Linked DNA regions of Ovis aries. The protein of the gene in region 4 interacts with the protein of the main gene of each other region in a pairwise test. Links are inferred from orthologs where the notes say so. Each region holds a gene or a part of one and is shown on either strand. Other genes may lie near its edges. The genes, in order: CYTH2, CYTH1, CYTH3 and IPCEF1.

Evidence for each region.
Region 1: the proteins of IPCEF1 (region 4) and CYTH2 interact in binary tests that used the Homo sapiens proteins (3 or more experiments, as listed by UniProt). The link is inferred for Ovis aries from reciprocal best matches to the Homo sapiens genes IPCEF1 and CYTH2.
Region 2: the proteins of IPCEF1 (region 4) and CYTH1 interact in binary tests that used the Homo sapiens proteins (3 or more experiments, as listed by UniProt). The link is inferred for Ovis aries from reciprocal best matches to the Homo sapiens genes IPCEF1 and CYTH1.
Region 3: the proteins of IPCEF1 (region 4) and CYTH3 interact in binary tests that used the Homo sapiens proteins (3 or more experiments, as listed by UniProt). The link is inferred for Ovis aries from reciprocal best matches to the Homo sapiens genes IPCEF1 and CYTH3.

Annotation. Positions count from the first base shown.
Region 1 is NC_056067.1:54,895,561-54,900,946, reverse strand, and holds the start of CYTH2 (cytohesin-2), read right to left. Parts: upstream 3,237-5,386; 5' UTR 3,112-3,236; coding exon 3,093-3,111; intron 2,278-3,092; coding exon 2,130-2,277; intron 2,032-2,129; coding exon 1,965-2,031; intron 951-1,964; coding exon 832-950; intron 1-831. UniProt on the Homo sapiens protein: Acts as a guanine-nucleotide exchange factor (GEF). Promotes guanine-nucleotide exchange on ARF1, ARF3 and ARF6. Activates ARF factors through replacement of GDP with GTP.
Region 2 is NC_056064.1:52,902,795-52,908,357, reverse strand, and holds the start of CYTH1 (cytohesin-1), read right to left. Parts: upstream 3,174-5,563; 5' UTR 3,093-3,173; coding exon 3,071-3,092; intron 1-3,070. UniProt on the Homo sapiens protein: Promotes guanine-nucleotide exchange on ARF1, ARF5 and ARF6. Promotes the activation of ARF factors through replacement of GDP with GTP.
Region 3 is NC_056077.1:38,556,052-38,560,840, reverse strand, and holds part of CYTH3 (cytohesin-3), read left to right. Parts: intron 1-2,486; coding exon 2,487-2,563; intron 2,564-2,645; coding exon 2,646-2,717; intron 2,718-2,795; coding exon 2,796-2,950; intron 2,951-3,181; coding exon 3,182-3,254; 3' UTR 3,255-3,277; exon of another isoform or gene 3,278-4,789. UniProt on the Homo sapiens protein: Promotes guanine-nucleotide exchange on ARF1 and ARF6. Promotes the activation of ARF factors through replacement of GDP with GTP. Plays a role in the epithelial polarization.
Region 4 is NC_056061.1:78,801,698-78,807,274, reverse strand, and holds the start of IPCEF1 (interactor protein for cytohesin exchange factors 1), read left to right. Parts: upstream 1-2,123; 5' UTR 2,124-2,269; intron 2,270-5,577. UniProt on the Homo sapiens protein: Enhances the promotion of guanine-nucleotide exchange by PSCD2 on ARF6 in a concentration-dependent manner.

The DNA.
Region 1 (5,386 bases), on a different chromosome or scaffold from region 4:
GCGATCCCCAGACAGCTAGAAATGACGCCCATGCTCCCAGACTCTCCAGTCCCCATGCCCTCCAGCTGTCCCCAGACGGTCTCTGCGCCACAGATATCCAGAAGGTTCCACAGAACCCAGATGTCCACACAAACCCTGGGCATCTCACAGTCCTGTGCACCTCAGACATTTCAGACGGCCTCCACATGTCCCGGATGTGCACCGATGGTCCCCAGGTTTCCCAGACTTCACAGAAGGTCCCAAGCACCCTGGAGTCCAGATAGTCCCCACACACCCCCAACATCCAAAGGTCGTCCGCATGTGTCCCAGAAGTCCACAAACTCCCAGGCACCCTAGACATCCACTGCTGGTCCTCATACACTCCCGACGTCTCATGCACTCTATGCTTGGAGGTGGTCCACAGACCCCGGACATCCACAAATGGCCCCCATGTTTCCAGATGTCCATGGGCCCCTCATGCTCCCCAGATATCCACTGACTGACCCCTCCCACTTCCTGCATCACTGTCCACGTCGCTCCCATGCACACCAGCTGTCTCCAATGGTTCTCACGCTCCCATACCACCCACAAATGTTCTCCACTGTCCTGACATAAATGGGTGATGGTCCCCGCATTGCTCAGATGTCCTCAAATGTCCCATACCCTCCACATGCTCACAGATGATCCCCAGGTTCCTCAAAAGGTCCCCCACCCCAATCTCTGTGTCAGTCCATTTTGTCACAGTCCAGTTGCAAGGCTCATCTATCAGGGCCTCTCCTCAACAAAAGCTGGGTGCAAGGGGCAGAGAGGAGATGCCCAGCAGGAGCTGGGTGCAGGGAGTGCGATTCTCACCTCTCCCCCAGGTAGTCCCCAATGGCCGTCTTGTTCAGGCCCTCGCCCTTGTACAGGAAGCGGGCGATCTCCTCAGGTGTGTTCTGCAAAAGTTCATTCTCCACCAGGAACTGGATCCCCTGGTGGGAAGGGCTGGGTCTCAGTGCTGGCATGCTCAGAAAGACACCCCTAGAAACCTTAGCCTCCAAACCCACCCCCATTCTCAACAGAGCGGGGCCTGAGTTTCATTTTCAGGCTCTTCCCAGGCCCCTAAACACCGCCTCTCCCGCAGCCTAGACTTTGCATCTACTGCTGCCTCTGCCTTTGCCTGGTGAATTCCAGTCCCCCCGGAGCAGGACCTGGCAAGAACAGGAGCTTCATGAATGTCTGCTGAATGACTTTACAAACTACCACTGCTTCTGGCAAGAAGAATAAAGTGGGAAACTGTTAGAAGACATCAGTTCATGAGGAGCTGTGAGGGCTCAGGCTGGAGGTCTTTCTCAGGCTCTCCTGATGTCTTGAGGACGATGAACTGAGGACCCCTCTCTCTGGATTTTAGTATCTGCGTCTAGGGGCTCCCTGAGGGCAAGGCAGCATCAAACCCTACACTGGGTCCTATGCAGTACCTAGCAGAGCCGCAGCCCAGAGGGAGGCCTGAGGAAATGGTGTAAAATGAATGAATGAATGAACGAACATCTTTTCTCCACTGGGTGAACACTCAGTCATCCTTCGCCTGACCCAAATGTCCTCCTGAGGGAAGCCCTCCTTGATGCCACCAGGCTCACTCCTCTGTGTCCACAGTCCAGTACCTCTCTTTCTCTCTGTCATGGCACTTCTCTGTCCACATTCCCTACCAGACTCAATCAAGCTCCTCCTGGGGACTCAAGAGTGGCAAGAGAAATGGGTCCTAAAATATGAGCAAAAAGGAGAGGAGGACCACTCAGGTAGAAGTTCCAGCATACACAAAGATCAGGAGGCTGAAGCACTTGGTTAGTGTTCAGGGAACAAATACTGCCAATATCTGGATCCAGTGATCAGGACCAATTCTGTCCACCTAAGACAGACCTTTAACCACCACACTTCTGGAACCCGGAGATGCCAGAATCCTATCTGGATGTCAGCTTGGCCGATCCCAGCCCTGTGGCCCCAAGCACCTTTTTGGGGTCCATATTGAACTTCTTCCTGCCCATTGCCATCTTCCGGTTCCGTTGCAAGGTTTTGCTGCAGGGGCAGAGAGCAGAGGGTGCAAGGTCAATGCCTGGGCATCCTTGGCCCTCGCCTGGCCCCATGACCCCTAGGCTCCCTGCCCTAGCCCTCACCTGCCCTCATTGGCCTCCAGACCCTCCACCTCGCTCATGGCTTCGCTGAGCTCCTCCCGCAGGCGCTGGATCTCCACCAGCAGCTCCTGCTTCCGCCGTCGAATGTTCTCCAGCTCCATCCGCTCCTCCGGAGTCAGGTCCGGGGGTTCTGGGGGAGGGAATCAGGGGTGGGAGATCAGTTCTGGGGACTGGGAGCCTGGACTTCTGAAATCTGGTGAAGGACAGAGCTCCTAGGTTCATGGGGAGGATGAGGATAAGAGTCCCGCCTCCGGTCAGTGGAAGAAGGGGCTGGGGGTCAGTCCAGGGGAGGAAGGGCTGGGAATCTAGACTCTTAGTCCTTGGGAGAGAAGGGGGCTTGGAGCCTCTACTCTAAGGTTTACAGGGGAAAGGGGCCTGGAAGCTTGACACTGCGGTTCATTACTTGCAAGGGGCCTGAGGCCTTGGTTTTCTGCCTCCATTCTCGGCGAGGTAGCTGGGGACCTGGGTGCCCGGACTCCTGGGTCCATGGAAAGTAACCATGGCAGGGGAAGCTAATGACAGCTTGCGAGAGTGAAGGAAGGGGTGGGGCATCGAAGGCCCCCGCCCTGGCCCTAGCGGAATCTCTGGCCCACACGATTTCTCCCCACCCCACCGTCCCCAGAAGCCCCCCTCCCCTCTCCCGGCAGGCACTGGGCTCGCCCGGCCCCTCCAGAGGGAATGGTTCCGCCTCAGCCTCGCCTCCGCCGCTCCATCCCACCCCCTCCCGCTGCCACCGGAAACAGGCTCGGCCCAAACAATGGCCTGGAACGCCCCGCTCTCCTGCCCTGCCGGAAGCCCGTCCCGCGCCCCACAAAAGCGAGGCGACAACAGGGCCGAACAAGCTTCTCAAGGCGCGCGTCGTGGTGGGGGAGGTCGTTCGCGGCGGAACGTTCGGGCTGAAACGCTCCATCTGCTCCCAGCCGGCCCCGCCCCTCCCCGACTTACCATAGACACCGTCCTCCATGGCGGCTAGGAAGGCCCGCGGGGAGTCCGGGGCGGTCCCGCCGGTCGGGCCCGGATCCGCGTTGGCCCGCGGGCTCGGGTGAGCCCGCTCAAACGCCCCGGGAGCCACCGCCGCCTCCTCAGCGCCAGTCCTCAGCGCTGAAAAGACTCTCCCTTCGTCTCCCAACCGCCCCGCCAGTAGGGACCGCCCCTCGTTTTGACACCGCCCAATCCACGGCGTGCCCTCTCTTCTGTTCCGCCTCCGAAACCGAAGGATCGCCCTCCAGGGCCAATAGGCGCACTAGGAGCAGGCGTAGCAACGTTCAGCCCAAAGTAGACGGTCTGTGGGGCCAATTGGAGTGAGAGCAGGGGCCGGGCCCCGCCTCCGAAACCAAAGGGTTCTTGGCAGGCTTCCCCTCCAATGAGAAGCCTCGAAAAGGAGATGCATGGAGGCGGGACTAAGCAGACGCAGAGGGAGGACTACGCCTGCGCAAGGGCTCTGCTCAATAGGATACCAGGTCAATCGAGCCGGGCCTATAGCAATACGTCGCTAGGGGGCGGTACTTTGTTAGGCTTGTTGCTAGGGGGCGGGGCCACAGCTCCCTGCTGTTTCCTTGAGCCACACCTCCTAGCTGGCCCGCCTGGCTTTTGACCGCAGTGGTTGCCAAGCAACCGGGAGCCGCTTTGGCTCACTTTCCTTTTGGCCCCCTTTCTCAAATGTACTGGCCTCTCCGATCTGCAGACCCTTTCCTTACCCTCCTCCTTTGACCTCCCCCATCCACCTCAGCCTCTTCAGAGTCAAGGAGTGGTGAAAAAAAAGACTTTCTTCCAAATGCTGCGCTTTATGGTCTCTGTAGAGGAGAATGGGACTATAGAGGAAGGCCAAATCCAGTGAAAGGACAGGCTCTGCCTTCCTGCCTCTCGAAGCCTCTCAGTTTCCTCCCTCTCTCCCCCAAACTCCTCCTTTAGGTTAGCATCCTTTCCGTGCCCAGGACAGTTCCCCTTTCCTCAGCATCCTTCCACCTCTGATCCCTTCTCCCTTCTCCGAGCCCTTTCCCTCCTCTCTGTCTCATTTCGCGTCCCCCTCCTCTCATACTCTTGCTCTTCTTAAACTCCTCCCTCTTCTCCGACTCCTCTGGCATCTGAGGCCATTTCCCCTCCCCCGCCTCTCATTTCCATTCCTTGAAGGCAAAACAGGTGCAGGGGCCTGGCTTGGAGGGAGAAACTGGGCACCCCCATCACGGACAGGTCCCAAATTGGGTCTGAGGGTCGTGTCTGGGCCTGGGCCTCACTCATCGTCCCAGAGTTCGGCAGGCAGGGACAGATTCCAGGCCAGGACCTGGTTAAGCTGACAGATTAGACACGAAGCCTCCTAATCCCCTCAGTGACCTTTATGAGTGGCTCAGGCTCTGCCCTCCCTACCAGAAGCTCAGGTTGTGCCAGTCCTGACCCCACTCGCTCCCCTTCCAAACAGAACCCTTTTCCTGTCCCTTCATCTCCAATTTAACACCCTTCTTCATGCTTAGGTTTCCATTGTCCTGCTGCCTACTCCAGCCACCCAGAGGTGGGGGAGCAGCCAGCTAATTAATCCCATCCGGTTATTATCTGGAGATTCTGCAGGATAAAGGGAGGTGGGGAAACAGGAAGGGGGCAAGTGGGTTGACGCAGCACCGGGACAGGCTGATGGGCAATGACAGTGCCTGCCCTCAATCCTGGCACACAGAGGTGGGAACATGTCCTCCTTGGCACTGACTCCTTCTTCGACTGGCTTCCACCTGCTAGGCACTTAGGTAGATAGCAGCATGGGCAGAGGCCAGATTCAAGGACCCATATGTACCCCAGAAGCACACTCCCAGACACACCACTGGGGTTCCCAATAATTTGACCTGGGGGACAAGCCTCCCTAAACACATACATTCCCCTGACATTCAGAGGTAACTCCTCCTTCCCCTGCCCCTCCAAGCTGGGCCAGAAAGGAGGTGATTCTGGCCTTAGCCACAACCCATATTCTCCCTTGCCTTCCCTGTCATGCAGGCATCCAAGTTCAGACCTAGATTCTGAGAGCATCTCCCATCCCTGTTTCTCCCAGAAGGCCAGGCATTCCAGCACCTGGTGGGGGTGGTTGACTGGGGTATCTCCGAGACCCTCATTGTACCCTCAGTGAAGAATAATGCTAGTGGAAAGGCCCTTGGACAACTTCAATTTCCAATGCCCTGTTTTTTATGGATGGGAAAACTGAGGTGAGGGCTTCCCTGTGGCGCTAGTGGTAAAGAACCCGCCTGCCAATGCAGGAGATG
Region 2 (5,563 bases), on a different chromosome or scaffold from region 4:
ACGCTATGAAGGTAAAAATACCTCTTCCTTTTACAAGTGAGAACTGTGACATCCAGGAAGTACAGTCATCTAATAAGAACGTAAAATGACCCCCCAAAAATCCCAACTATTTCAGGGTTTAGAAAGAAGGGGGGGCGGGGATAAAGACCAGCCAGCCACAAGCATTAGGAACATCTTTCTTAAAGTGTCAATTAAGCTTTTAGAAAACCACTAATTCCACATTTTTCTTAAAAGAAAAAAAAATGCTTTAAATTGACTTTTGTTTAACCTCCCCCCCACTTCACACAGGTGTTCACAGTCTGGTTTATCACACCACATGTGTAGTTTGAACTATGCTGTATGGATCTAGTGCATTACAACTAGACCAAATAAACAACTCAGGATCACAGGGAGTGAACAAGAGAAAGGGCTGCTGAACTCAGTGGTGTGGTTTCTGGGTCAGCACAGAACATCAAAGAGTATGCAGTTAGGAAAAGCCTTCTGGTGAGTTTTCAAAATTCTCTTTCGTTGAACAGAGAAACTCTAAGACACATTCTCTTTCTTTAGCTTATTATAAATGAGTTATGCTTCAAAGGTTTTATCTAGCAAGGTGATAGCATGGAAATCATAAACCCTGTCCCCAAAGATACAATGTTAAAAAATCATGGTAGTGACCTAGGCTGACTCATGAACCACCAATGGAGGTTCCGAGGGAACCCCCTGGACCTGGCATTCTATGCACTGTTTGAGTCCACAGCACCCACTTTAGTTTGAAAGGTGGAATGTGAATAGTTGTCTTATCTTTTGAGGTAAATTCTCTGTAAAACCTAGGAGAGAAATGGAAAGTTCTGGAGACTGAGGCAAACCTTAAAAAGAACTAGGAACCTTTTTCTTGTTATGATCATCTTGAACCATTAGGTACTTTTTGTGTGGTAAACCCAATGAGTGGGGGAAATCTTTAAATCAACCTTTCTGCTTCCTCCAATATACGAAGAATATGTTTTTTTTTTAATTGTACAAACAGAAAGAAAAGAACAACTTCTTCCTCATCTTTATGTGTGGTCAGCAGAATAATGGGCCCCAGAGATAGCCCTGTCCTAATCCCAGAACCTGGAAACACGCCGCCCCTACGTGGCAAAAAGGGGGTTACCATTGGAGAACTAAGGCTGCTGATCCTTATCCTTATCAGGTGGGTCCAATGGCGTCACAGAGCCCTAACTAGAAGAGGCAGAAGCCAGACAGAACTGAGAAGATGCTACCTGCTGACTCTGAAGGTGGAAGGCAGCCAGCAGCCAAGGAACGGGGGCAGTCTCTAGAAGCTGGAAGAGGCAAGGAAACAGATGTTCCTGTTAGGACCTCCAGAAAGGAACACAGCCCAGTAAACACCTTGATTTTAGCTTAGTGAGACCAAATTTGGACTTCTGACCTCCAGAACTGTAAGATAACAAGTTTATGTTGTTTGTGCCAATCTGTTACAGCCGCCACAGGAAACAAATACACCCTGCTTCCATTCACCCTTTCTGAGCACGAATTCATGCCATGCCTGGTGGCAAAGCAGTCATTGTGTTCAAAGCAACCAGACCAACAGCTTCCTGCCTCGAGCGGTGGGTAAGACCACCAGGAGAGGGCATGAAGAAAGCCTGGATTAAACAGCAAGAGATGGTACAGGAGCACGCAAAGCTGGAGAAGGCTTCTCCTGGGTGGGCAGAAACAGACACCTAAGTGGGGCTGAAAAGTCCTTTGGGATCAATCGTGGGTGTTTTCTCTTTTTTCAATCACAGAGGAAAAGCACACACTGCTTTTACTTGGAAGGTAACCAGGGGACATCTGATGGACACCGATCCCACGTGCTCTGGCCTTTCCCCTGTCTGCCACTGTGGGTCATAAACCCACCTATTGCGGTCAGTGGTTCCTCAATGACTTACTCGTAAACAAACAGAAAAGTAACAAGGTGCTTCACCTTTCACATTTTAACATACCCCACAACAAAGCTTGCTCCCTCAGAGCTTAAGAAACAAACGTCGCCTATGTCACTTAGTCAAGAAAGCGGATTCGCTTCCACTAAGCCACACAAGCATTTCAAACTGCTGTCTGTACTCTGCTTACCAAACCACAAAACTTCACCACTTGTTCTATCTGCCATTCTTTCATCTCTTGGGAATAAAACGTTAAATAAATTAACGAAAGCATTCCACATAGCCTTCTGCCAGCCTGGCAATCTGAAGCCATTTGACAGACGAATGCCCTGCGGATGGCCAACAGTTCCCAGGTGAGGTCAGCAGAAGGAGGCTTTGGAAACGGGTAGTTTTGTCAAGCGTTCGCTGTCGGTGTGGCGTGAGGGCTGTGCCGCGTCTCTGGGCACAGATGAGAAGGCAAAGTTGGGTTTCTCGGCGCCCCTCGGGCTCGCCCCGCAGGCGCTGGGGGAACAGCAGCCCCGTTTCCGCGGAGAGGCGGTCAGCCTCGGACCCTGGGGTGGCCGGCGGCAGGAGATCCCGGCCCCGACGGCACCGTCAGGTGGCAGCCTGTCCACTCGGGGTTCGCTGCCTGTGTTTTCTCATTTTTGTTTCTGAACAAAGACATGGACCAGGGTACATAACTTGCCAGCACCGAAGGGGCCGGAAACTACGGAGAACGGCCGGGGGAACTTGAGCGTTCGCGGGGGAGGCTGGGCCTGCGCGGGACAGCGGCCCGAGACCCCCGCCCGAGACCCGGACCCCGAGACCCTCCTCTGAACCCCGCCCTAGACCCCGGCCTCGAGACAGACCCTCACCCTGGAGGACTTCCGCCTCGGAGACTCAGGCCCCGAGACCCCGGTCCTACGACTGCGGCCCCAGAGACTGGAGCCCGGCGACCCCCAGCGCCGGCCCCCGAGACCCGTGCACCCCGACGTCGGCCCCTCATCACCCCTCAGCCTTTAACACTCGGGGCCCCCGGTGCCCCCTGCCCTGAGGAGGCCCCCGCCCCGCCCGGCTCGCGTCCGGCACCACAGTCCCCGGGAAACGTGAGTCGCCTGAGGCGCGGCCAAGGCGCCGGGCCGGTGAAGGGAGGAAGGGAGGGGGCGTCCGCCGGCCGGACCGAGGGCCGTACTGACCGTAGCTGTCGTCTTCGTCCATGGTGCCGGCGCCAGGCTCCGCGCCTGGGCTCGCCGCTCGCCCCAGGTCCCGCAGCTCCCGGCCCCGTTCGCCCGGCGAGTCTCAGAGCCCCGCCCCCGGCCCCAAGCCCGCCGCCCGCCGCCCGCCCCTCGTCCCCCGCGGGGCGCCCCGCCCGCGGCCTGCGCGCGCGCGCACACACACACACACAGAGCCCAGCACGCGGCCGCCTCCCGACCCGCGCCTGCGCACGCGCGCCCGCCCAGACCCCGCCCCCGGGCCTGCGGCCCCGCCCCCGTCGCCCGCGCGCGCACCCCTGGGGCCGCGTCCTCTACTCTGCCCAGGACTGCGTACGCGCGCCCGCCGAGGCCCCGCCCCTCTGGCTGGCCCCGGGCGCCGAGGCCCCGCCTCTGACCACGCCCCAACCCGAGGCCCCGCCTCGGCCGCCTCCGGGGGCCCAGCAGGTTTCGGATTTCCTAAGGGTGGCGCAGGCCTGGGAAACAGACCAGAGCCCAGCCGCCCACAGAGGTACCAAGGTCGTGTCCGGCCACTCAAGGGCAGGGTGGTCCTCGCTGACGTTAGTTTCACAGGTCCTGCTAGTCCTTGGCCGAATACCAGAATATTTTGAGTTCATTATTTCTGCAGTCTGAACCTTAGCACCGTGAATGTCATGAGTTCATTGCCTTTATATACTTCCTTTTCTTTGTCCTCTGAATGTACCCCGATCAAATTTCAAAGAGAGGCACCTCAGCCTCACAGCATGTCAGGATTTTGGTGACCTTGATTCCTGCGACTGTTGGATTCATACGTTTCTAGGCTGTGCCTTACATGTTTTATTTGCCTGCACTGGGCTGACCGACCAATCCCCACCCACTGGTTAGACTGAGCTGCCCTTTGAGGAGCCTGGGCAGTAGTTCTGCACCTGGAGGTGGGGACATCACCAATTTTTAATTCAGAAAAATAAACGAAAATGCTGCTTTTTTACTTGTTCCTGGATGGATATGCTCTTTCTTGATTTGGTGCTACACATAAAAATTATAAGTGTGTCATTTGGAAGGATCACACAGGGATGGTCCAGGACCCTCCTGGGGGGCATGACCCTGGACCCCCTAGCACAATGTGCTGTACTGGGGGTGCTGCGGGAGAAGAGCTCAGCCCAAGGTCCTGGCAATGCCCCTGAAATGTCAGGGAATATCTCCATCAGGGGGAGTTGTGACCCTTCTCAGCAGTCTGTTTCCTTACAGACCGTTCCAAAACATGCCTCCCGGTAGACAACAAAGGAAAGTCCCTTTCCTCTCATGGAAAAGGAGTAAATGAATGAGGAAACTCTAGGTTTTCTTTCCACATCTGCTTCCTATTAGCTCTGTGATCTGGGCAAATACCTCAGCCCCCTGGACCTGTCTCACACCCGTGAAATGAAGCATCTGCCTATAAAATCCAGGCTCCTGCCCAGTACTGATCTGTGATCTGTTGCTGTCTTCTGCTTGACTTCAGCACAGCTGACAATGTTTTTGTTTGATGAGATGGATTCCAACATTATCAGTCTAAGGGATCCCAATCTTCACATTCCATCAGGGTGCAGCTCTGGCCCACCCTTCTGGTGGCTAGGAAAACTGTGCATTCACAAACAAAAATATCCCTGTTACTCCCTGAGCTGTCGGACCCAGGCTTTGACGGTGAAGCTTGATGTCTCCCGTATGTCCAAGAAGATGGGCTTTATTTCCTTAGGCAAGTGTTTCTTTCCAATAGCTCCAGAAATCAGACACTTCCCTCACAGAGATTATCTTATCCATAGAAGCTTGATTCTGGTGGACCTAAGAGTTTAATCTTCATTGATTTTACATAACTCTTGCTCGATGACCAAAACTTGGGCAGAAAAGCAACTGAGGCCACAGGTTAATTCTCCCTGTGATCTGAACTCCCAAACCTTTGGATGGGAAGGGCATGAATGCTAATCACTTCGATTAGCCTGGTTTTTGACTGTAAACAAATCCCCTTAACTTACATTGTTTCATTACAACAGTGTTTTCCAGTGGCAGGTCCTGACTCTGAATGGTTGAAAAACCAATCTCCATTGAAGGAAGAGAAGATAGAATAAAAGAGAATCAGCATCCACCTTGTACCGTAAGGATAATGTTTGGTTTGGTTGTAAATGAATGCACTGGGTAGGGACGTAAAATGTACTTGACAACATATGCATGCTCAGTTGTGTCCAACTCTTTGTAGCTCCGTGGACTGTAGCCACCAGGCTCCTTTGTCCGTGGAATTTTCCAGGCAAGAATACTGGAGCAGGTTGCCATTTCCTATTCCAGAGGATTTTCCCTGACCCAGCAATGGAACCCATGTCTCTTGCATCTCTCGCATTGATAGGCAGATTCTTTACCACTAGCGTCACCTGGGAATCCCTACTTGACCACTGGTGACTGTCAAAGACCCTCTGTTAGCTCATGTTCCTCGCTCAGGGGCTGCGGGTGTCGGGGAGCGGGGCAGGGGTG
Region 3 (4,789 bases), on a different chromosome or scaffold from region 4:
GGCCTGCCTGGCAGCCAGGGTGCCCCCAGTGCCCCTTGGGTGACTCTAAAGACTGAACTAGATGTCTGACACCAGGGCTCGTGTTCCAGCCTGTCATCTGGTCGAGCAGATGACCGGACCACAGCATTGGGGCAGGGCACCGACAGGCACAGGGCCGGCTGGTGCCCGGGAGGGGCCAGGGGCCCAGGGCTTGCTGCTCACCCGTTCCCGCGGCCCCCGCTCTGTCCTCAGACCCAAGGCTGAGGGCTACAGAGCTGGTGACAGCACAGGTCGCACCTGCAGCCCGGAGCCTCAGCCCCTGGGGCTGTTCTGCTCTCAGAGCTGTTAGCGTCCCCCAAGGTGTCCAGTGCACAGCTGGCTGGTCAGTGCGCCAGACTCCTGCCTACGGTTCTGACCCCATGAAGGGTCCCTGGGTGTCGGTCCCCTAGGGACCCAGGAGGCGGGTGCTGAGGCTTTGTTAGGCTGGGCCTGGGTGCACACCTGTACTTAGTGAGGACACACAGCCCTAGGCCCCTGAACGGCCTACACACACACGCAGGCAGAGAAGCCAGAACTGTGGCCGTGCGTGTGCTAAGTTAGGAACTGGAGGTCCTAGCATGACCTCGCTTGGGGGTTTGTTGTCGTAAGTTAATCTTAAAGGAGACCGTGCTTTCAGGAGGCCAGGGTGCCCCGCCAGAGCAGAGCCTGGTGATGAGCTTCATGATGGTCCTGTAAATACCGTGTAGTCACTGTGTTTTGAGAGTGAGTCAGATGTGTTAACACAAGAGTTTGGTTGGCACAGAGCTGGCGTGGAGAACAGGCTTGCGTGGTATGCACGAGAGCCCGTGTCTGCTAACAACTATGCAGGCAGCAGGCGTTTACAAAGAGAAAAGGGCTGATTCTATCCATACTAGTCAGGAGCAGCCAGGCTCCTTCCTGCAGGGGTGTGTGTGTCTGTGTGTGTGTCTGTGTGTGTGTCTGTGTGTCTCCTTGTCCTGAAGCCCAGTCACAAACACATGCTTGGGCAGAGCTGGTCCATCTCCTGCAGCAAAACCTGCTGGAGCTCAGAGACCAAGAGTGTCACCGCCGCCACCCTGTAAGGGGGCTTGGGGCTGGGCCAGGCTCAGGGGTCCACCTGACCACACACCTCTGTCTCAATGCCCACTGCCCCTGGCCCAAGAGGCTCCCCTGGTCTCAAGACCTGGACCAGGGGTTGGGTTCCTCCAGACGTGCCACTGAAGTTGGGTGTAGCAGGGCAGGAGTCTAGGTGCAGAAGAGTCTCGAGGCCTTCCAAGAGAACAGAGATCCCTGCCCATGGTTCGAGACACACCTTGAGGGGGTGGAGGCCTTGGGGGTTGGAGGCATGAAGGGGCCTCAGGGTCTGAGGGCCCCCAAGGACAGTGGAATTTGGACAGATGCTTCTGACGGGGATGGAAAGTGAGATTAGGGGAGCAGGGGAATCTGGGGACCCTCTTCACGGCATAACTGAGGCTGCCGCCCCACACACCTGCCCTGCCTGCCCAGCCAGCCTGTGGCCATCATGAGGACAGACATCTCATCAGTGACCCAAGGGTGAGGGTCCCAGTCTCTGAGGACCCCTCAGTGGCACTGAAACCACAGACGGGGCTCCCTCCCTGCAGCTGGGTGTCTGCGTGTGTCTCTTCCCCCCATATCTCCCCAAATGTCAGGCCTTGTGCCTCAATTTCTGGATAGCCTTCATGTCCCCCCATGTCCCTGTCTGGGCTCCTCAGTTTCAGGGACCAGGTCCGTGACCCTCAGCCACAAGGGTCTCCCCTGTCTGCACCAGGGAGCCAGGGGGCGGGGCAGCTGCTGCTTACCTCATGCTGGTGGGTCGCAGACATCTGTCACCAGGCGCACGTTCTCTCTTTCAACTTTTGTTTTTAAACGTCATGTCGGAAGCAGAGACTAGAAATAGAAAAGGAAGCCAGTTGGTTTCTACTGAATATTTGAGAGTGAAAGATTTCTTTTCTGTAGTTTGAGGAGAGTGGGTGCAGATGAGCTGTGTGTGTGCATGTGTGTCCCAGATCTTGTTATGAGATTAATTCAATCTAATAATTCCCTGGGCCAAGGCCATAATCGATTTTGATGGATCCCAGGGCTGCCCCAGGTCCTCAGTAATGCGATGACGGTCCTGACGTAACGGGATTAAGTCCTGGACAGACCGGCAGCGGCGCTGACTTCATCCTGTTGTCATTTCCATGTGGGGAAATTAAGACCATTCATCACGACTAACTCTTCCAGGAAGCAGACTTGGGAAACGCTCGGGTCATCTGGGTGCCCTGCAGGCGGGCGGGGGTGCATGCGGGCCCCAGCAGCCACGGGCAGGCCAGGCCGCACACCATGGCCAGGATCTGGGGCAGAATGTGAAACGTTTTCACGAAGGACGAAGTGTAAAAGCCAGCTCGGCCCCAGTGGCATTTCTGAAAAGCACAGTAGCTCGTGTAGGGCTTGCTCTGCCCAGACTCACAGGGTCCCTCTGCTCTTAGGGGGGCGCGTGAAGACCTGGAAGCGGCGCTGGTTCATCCTCACCGACAACTGCCTCTATTACTTTGAATACACGACGGTAAGCGCAGGGCTGCGGGTCCTCCAGGTCGCGGGACCCTCGGCGGGTGCGGGGGAGGCTGGCTGAGCGCTTTGTCCCGCAGGATAAGGAGCCCCGGGGAATCATCCCGCTGGAGAACCTGAGCATCAGGGAGGTGGAGGACCCGCGGAAACCCGTAAGCTGGCTTCCCCGCCGCCCGCCCTTCCCTCCCGCTCCCCCAGCACCAGGTGACAGTCGTGTCTGTCTCCACCAGAACTGTTTCGAGCTGTACAACCCCAGCCACAAAGGGCAGGTCATCAAAGCCTGTAAGACAGAGGCGGACGGCCGGGTAGTGGAGGGCAACCACGTGGTGTACCGCATCTCGGCGCCCAGCCCGGAGGAGAAGGAGGAGTGGATGAAGTCCATCAGGTGCGCCCGGGCCCGCCGGGCGGGGCCTGTGCTGTGGGCGTGTCAGGGGCGGGGCCTGTGCGCTAGGTAGGCCGGGAGGGTCGGGCTCTCGTCTGGTCGGGGCGGGTGAGGCCCGAGCTGGGGCTGTCAGAGGGGCGGGGCTGTTGTCGAGCGCGAGTGGCGCTCTTGATGGGGCCTTGTGTGTAGGACTGCCCCGCCCATCCTAACCCAGTTTTTTTTACCCTCTCCCAGAGCGAGTATCAGCAGGGATCCTTTCTATGACATGTTGGCCACGAGGAAAAGGAGGATTGCCAATAAGAAATAGAGCTTTCCTGGTCTGAGCAGCAGGTAAAAGTAAACTGAAACCCCACAGCAGAGTGACTGGGGGGCCCTCCACGACCCCCTGGACCACCCCGACGGCCTGCCCTGTCTCCTCCGGGACAGCAGCCCCTGCTGATCTCAAGAGGCCTCACGTCACCCCTTCCCGCCGCCGCCCTCCCAGCTCCGGGTACATCCTTCTCGAAGCCCCGGCCTGCAGCTGCGCCTGGTGGTCCAGCCTTGAATATCCGCGGGGCAGACTAGGGGCCACACGTGCTCCTTGGTGGCAGTGGCTGTGTTGGCCGTTCTGGAAGCCACTGTTTTGTGTCATAACAGGAAAGGAAAAGCTACCACTTTTTTATTGAGTTTTTTTCTCAGATATATAGGATTATAGCTTTTATACGCCTTTTTATATTCTGAAATTATAATGAAAGATACTTTCTAACAGTAGTATTTTTAGAATGGCAGCTATAAATTTAACTTCTGGACACACGTATATACTGTGCACTGAGAACAAGTTACATACACACATATGCAGCAACTGGGGAGTGGGTGCCGTGCTCAAGGGGAACCCGAGGGCGCCCCCTGGTGGAGGGAGACGCCCGCGTCCTTGAAGACGCGCGCTGGGCAGGGTGGCTCCAGGGGTCCCGTCTTCTGAGTCACCCAGCTCCGTCTTCGTGGCCCCGCAGATAACTTTTACAAAGACACAAATCATTAAATTTTGGTTTGGGGTGTTTATCCTGTAACTGCTGAATCCCAGGACGGACAGTGTATGTATTGAACCACATGAAACTGCTCATATTTGACCCCTTTCTGATACCCACAAACAGCAGTGTCACGTGGTCCAACCGAACACATGGTTCAGGCCAGCTGTGACCCCTGTCTTCACTACTTAAGGCCTGTTGGCCAAACGAATGCTTATAATGATCAGATATATTAATGTAATGTGTAGACATATAAGGAACTAGAGACAATCTTGCTCCGTGTTTTGAGAGATTTGATATATTATAGGAAGGGAAAGAGCAGGCTGGGGGATGAAGGTGTATAGCACTTACGCTTTTCTGTAAATAGTTTAAAACCCCAAATATGCACTGGTGGTTGGACTGGCGAAGATCCCTGACCAGGAGGTTGCCAGGTGCCGCTGGCTGAGGGAGAGGTGCTCAAGCGTGCAGTGAGGAGCTGGGCCCATCACGCCACAGAGATGGCCCAGGGGTGCACAGGTGGGACATTCAGGGCCGGGCCAGTGACATGCCTCTTGTTGTAAGTTTCATTTCCACCACCAGAACCCCCGCACATTATATGTAGGACCCCCTCGCCCACATGGGCTGTTTCAGTGGAGGGTCCCTTCCCTGGGGGACCTTACCCTGCCCCACTGCGAAGGCACCCACCTTGTTCAGTTTGTACACCTGAGAGGTCATCACCTCTCCTGTGCAAAGGCCAAGTTCAAGAAAGACCACCTCAGCCTATGCATAGAGAGGTAAAACAGAGAAAATGTTTCCTGGGAGTTGCCTCGATGCTGAGACGGAACGGCTGTGGGCTCTC
Region 4 (5,577 bases):
GCTCAGTTGTGTCCGATTCTTTGCAACCCCATTGACTGCAGCACGCCAGGCTTCCCTGTCCTTCACCATTTCCAGGAGTTTGTTCGACGCATGTCTACTGAGTCGGTGAGGCCATCCAATCATCTCATCCTCTGTTGTCCCTTTCTCCTCCCTGCTTCAATCTTTCCCAGCATCAGGGTCTTTTCCAATGAGTCAGTTCTTTGCATCAGGTGGCCAAAGTATTGGAACTTCAGCTTCAGCATCAGCCCTTCCAATGAATATTCAGGACTGATTTCCTTTAGGATCACCTAGTTTGATTTCTTTGCAGTCCAAGGGACTCTCAAGAGTCTTCTCCAACACCACAGTTCAAAAGCTTCTGTTCTTCAGTGCTCAGCTTTCTTTATAGTCTAACTCTCACATCCATACATGACCACTGGAAAAACCATAGCTTTGACTAGATGGACTTTTGTTGGCAAAGTAATGTCTCTGCTTTTTAATATGCTGTCTTGGTTTGTCATAGCTTTTCTTCCAAGGAGCAAGTGTCTTTTAATTTCATGGCTGGAGTCACTGTCCACAGTGATCTTGGAGCCCAAGAAAATAAAGTCTGTCACTCTTTCCATTGTTTCCCCATCCGTTTGCCACCCCCAAAGAAAAGATTGGCAGTTTTATGGCCCCTGAGGTGCATGTAGGTATGTGGGAGGAGGGCCAGGAATAGACTGGCCCTAACTGAGTAATGGGGATTTCCCTACCCCCCTTCATAATGAGGCCTCTAGCAGAGGCCCCAGAAGAGAACCCTGCCCCCAGGCCTCAGGTAAAATGACTCTGGAATGTAAATATGCCACAGAGCAGGACTGACAGGGAGCCTGGGACCTTGACCACCACTCCCCTCAGATGCTGTGGGGTCCTGCTGTCACCAAGTCTGGTGCGGGGAAGGCAGTATCCCTGTGAAGCCTTCCAGGGAGAGCCTTCATAATTGCCTGTGATCAGGTCTAAAAGGTGACACATGGGGATTTAAGAGGAGCTGGACTCCTCATTCTCATCCTCCTTCACTCTCACTTATTTGCTCTGATGAGGCCAGCCACCATGTCCTGAACCGACTGAAGGGAGACCCACGGGGTAACAGCTGGCACTGAATCGAGATCATCAATCCTATTGCCCTTGAGAAACTGAATCGTACCAACAATCACGTGGGTGAGTTTGGAGGCGTTTCTTTTCCTTGAGATGATTACAGTCTCTGCTGACTCCTTGGCTGTAACCTTGTGGAGACTCCAGCTAAGCTGGGTCCAGATTCCCGGCACTCAGAAACTAAGACGTAATAGGTGTCTGTTGTTTTCAGCCTCTAAGTGCTGGGGTCGTCCGTTACACAGCGATAGATAACTAATATATGTGCTAAGGATCTAGTGACCACATTTTGGGAAACTGCATGGTCGTGAGCCTGTTTCAAATGACTTGATTCCTTTTCATTGAAAGTGGGCCATAAGTACAGTGACATTATGTTCTTTCCTCAAGAAGGTTTAAGGAGACAAGATGCTGGTATTGAAAACGAGAAGTCTGAGGGCAGGCATTTATTGATGGTGAGTTCCGGTCTCCCTAATTTTCCCCTGTCATTTGCCTTTTCGAGCATGTGAAATGAAAGTTTTAAAGTTAGAGAATCTATTAATTATGCTGTAGGAGAAAGGCAGGCTGACTTATTTTTAACATAAGATACTTTCTGCACATTTTTCTGTGTCATCTATTTAGGAGTAATCCGAACACTAGGAGGTGAGAAAGAAGGGAAATGCAAGAGAACATTGAGCCTAAGAGAGGCTGATGATAAAAATGTGGATTTCAACTAAACCCACCAGGAACAGCTCTGCAAATGACCTCACCCCACCCCACCCCACCCTCGCCTGCAAATAAACATCTTTGCCTCCAAAATGAGAATGCAAAACGATGTACTGTTTCCCACGTGCGTCCTGGAAATGAACATACTGAATAGTGTTTAGTGATCAATGGAGTCTGACAGAGGGGACGTAACTAATTTACATGAATTGTGTTGTGTGTTTTGGAATCAAGGAAGGCTTATTAACAATAAGAAGGAAGAACAATGAGATTGGGGAAGTAGAGATGACACTTCCTCTTCTTTTGAAAGAGCTCTTTTCTCTGGCCAGCTTCTAATGGTCGTCCTGTGGAGCTGCCTGAACTGTGGCTGCATATGGAGGAATCCTCAACCTTGACCTCAGGGTATTATGAATTTTCTGAAATCAGGCATAAAGAGCTGGTGCTTGGATTTGCTCTCTTTTTATTGCATGTAAGTAAAACCACTCCTTGGCTGACGTATAAAGTCATTGCTTGACATCTCAAGATGGTGAAGCAATGGATATTCTGGCACTCTCTTTAAAATAGTGAGCTGTGAGTAAGATGTGACTCTTGGGATATCATGTTTGCTCAGCTCTTCATAAACTTGCTGTTGGGAAGTCCAGTACTACAGACACTGTTAGAGTTTTGAAGGAGAGAACCGTGAACTCTCCTTTCTTCTATTTCTATAGTAGATGTTGTATTGATAACTGCTGGGACTGCAGACCATGATTTAGAAAAACTCAGTTCCTCAAGTGTGTGGGTCCTGAGGAATTCATCTGGGAAAACACTCTGGGGCCAGCCTCTTTTGAGAAGGTGTGTTCTTTGTAGAGAATCCTCCTTTGTATGCAGACTGCTGGAGGGGATTTTACTTTTAGATAAAAAGACAGGCTTGATAAGATATCTCTGTATGAAATGGGAACTTTGGTAATGTTGGTTCAGAGGTTTTTACCCAGGACGTCTAGAACATTTGGTTTTCTTTGCTTGTGAATATGTGAAAGAAACTTAATTGTAAGAGACAGGATTATAAGTCACTAAGGCATTACTGACTGTAGTAGTGGAATTTATTAGTATGTAGGGGCCTGTGTGTTCTTAGGCGTCGTATAGTCATACACAGACTCGGATTCCTCTACAGCTAATTAAAATTTGACTTGGAAATAGAAACAGAAAGAACATAGGTTTCCTTCTGCGCACATCATGCAAGTGAGAAGAAAAAGGACTTCAGTTTGTATATTTGTTGGTATACTTATTCTTTATTTTTAAACGTCCCTCTCCTCTCTTTATTTCTCAAGTATCTTCTCTGAAGACAGTCCATGTGTGAACTCTTATAGGCAAGTTGCATTAAGCAGTATGGAAATAGGAAGTTCTTTCCTGTGGTGGCTTGCTGTGGCAATAAGTGATAAAAAGTTACTTCATGACTATTGCCTGAGACTTTCCTTTTTACTCGCGTATCCTTTTTGAGCAGTTCACTTCTGCTTTCCATCTGCTGTGGAGGCCAGGCAGAATGAGTTGGGAACTCAAGCAAGTTTAATGGGGTAAATGCTGTGTGAGAGTGAAGAAAATTCTATAAGCTCTTTGAGATTGAAGAAAATCCTACAAAGGGAAAAATTACTGAATTCTTCAGTGCTCAGAACAGTGCCTGTCCCATACTAAGCTCTCAGTCAGTGTTTGTGCAATGGATGAATGATTGAATGGGATTGTTCATAAAATGAGTGTAGTCTGGCAGTGTTTGCCTTATCTCTATGACTCAGGCACATAAGGAAGTCTAGGTTGGAAAAGGTCAGAGTGAAGCAGGAGAGGAGAATGTGAAGGTGGGAAGAGAAGAAAGGGTATATAGAAAAGAGATGATAAGGAACCTTAAGAGTGGCATTATGGTGGCCTGTGTGGAGGTGCAGGGGGCATGGAAGTGGTGGTGGTGAAGGTGGTGGTGACGTAGAGTCTGAGCTGCTGGTAGAGATGATGGTCGAGGTAGTGGTAGAGCAGTGATGATGAAGGTGATGCGGAGGTGGTGGTGGAGCTGATGATGGAAATGTGTGCTGAAAATGATGATGATGGAAGTGGTGGAGATGCTGGAGGTGGTGGTGGAGATGCTGGAGGTGGTGGAGATGCTGGAGGTGGTGGTGGAGATGCTGGAGGTGGTGGAGATGCTGGAGGTGGTGGAGATGCTGGAGGTGGTGGAGATGCTGGAGGTGGTGGTGGAGATGCTGGAGGTGGTGGTGGAGATGCTGGAGGTGGTGGTAGAGATCCTGGAGGTGGTGGAGATGCTGGAGGTGGTGGTGGAGATCCTGGAGGTGGTGATGGAGATGCTGGAGGTGGTGGTGGAGATGCTGGAGGTGGTGGTGGAGGGATGATGGAGGACATGATAGAGCTGATGATGGAGATAGTGTTGAAAGTGGTGATAATGGAGAGAGGTGTTGGTGAAGGTGATGGTAAAGATCCATAGATGTGATGGTAGAGATGATAGTGGTGGTGATGGAGGTGGCGGTGGAAGAAGTCGTGAAGTGGAGGTGATGATGGGAGGTAGTGTGATGTAGTCGGGAAACAGTTTGGGGATTAGACACAGCTGTTCAAAGTCTGTATCCACCACTTACTAGCTCTATGACCTCTGAACCTTCAAAGTGATGATTATAATAAAATGAGCTTTTTCTGCTGTCATGTAAGGATCAGAAATGCAGTGGCATAGTGCCTGCCATCTCATAGATCTTTACCAAATGGCAGTTGACAACATATTTCCTTCAGTTTTTAAAACTCTATGGTCACACTTACAAAGTTAATCACCAATTTATCTTTTCTTTATTTTTTGCTGTTTTCTAAATTTCACAAAATAAGCATGATTCATGAATTATTGATTAAAAATAAATGTTATATGCCTAGTTTTCAAGATTGTTAAATACATGATAGTGTATTAAAAAGACCATCAATATAATGATGTTTATGAAATATTGTGATATACTAAGATTAAATTAATAAAAAGAAGAAACAACTTTCAGCTAAGTAAAACACTGCAGAGAAACAAGACTGAGGTACATATGTTAATACATTAACATATAATTAATTTGGTTTATGGGCTTCCCGCATAGCTCAGTCAGTAAAGAACTTGCCAGCAATGCACTAGACCCAGGTTCGATTCTTGGGTCAGGAAGATCGCCTGGAGAAGGAAATGGCAACCCACTCCAGTATTCTTGCCTGGGGAATCCCATGGTCAGAGAAGCCTGGCAGGCTACAGTCCATGAGGTCACAAGAGTCAGACATACTTAGTGACTACACCACCACCACCAATTTGGTTTATAGCTGATGATAGTTTTATTTGTCTTCAAGCTTTTCTATTTTTTTTTTCAAATTTTTCATTAGTGAAGCATATTGAGACTACCCTAATAATCTGAAAACAAAATAAATGTTAAAACAAAATAAAAGTTAAAAAAATCAACATAATTTTAACTCTTAATCTTCCACTAAGTAGTTTTTAGTTATAGTGTGCTAAACTTTGTGGTTCCTTGCAGTTGAAATGACGTGATTTAGATTATTTAATCTTCATGGGGAATCCCCTTTGAGATTAAGTCTGGTGCAGAATTGTGTGACAGCTCTAAAGTGAGAATAGTGAACCAGATCCCCTCTGGGGCTGACTAGCCTACTTGGTTCCTAGAAACACACGAAAAAAGGCTATTTTCTCTAGATGATTTATAACTGCCTCTGAAGCTGTATTGGGTGACATTCTAGCAAGTTCAACTGTCAGTTGGATAGTTCTAAATTAAGTTTATATCT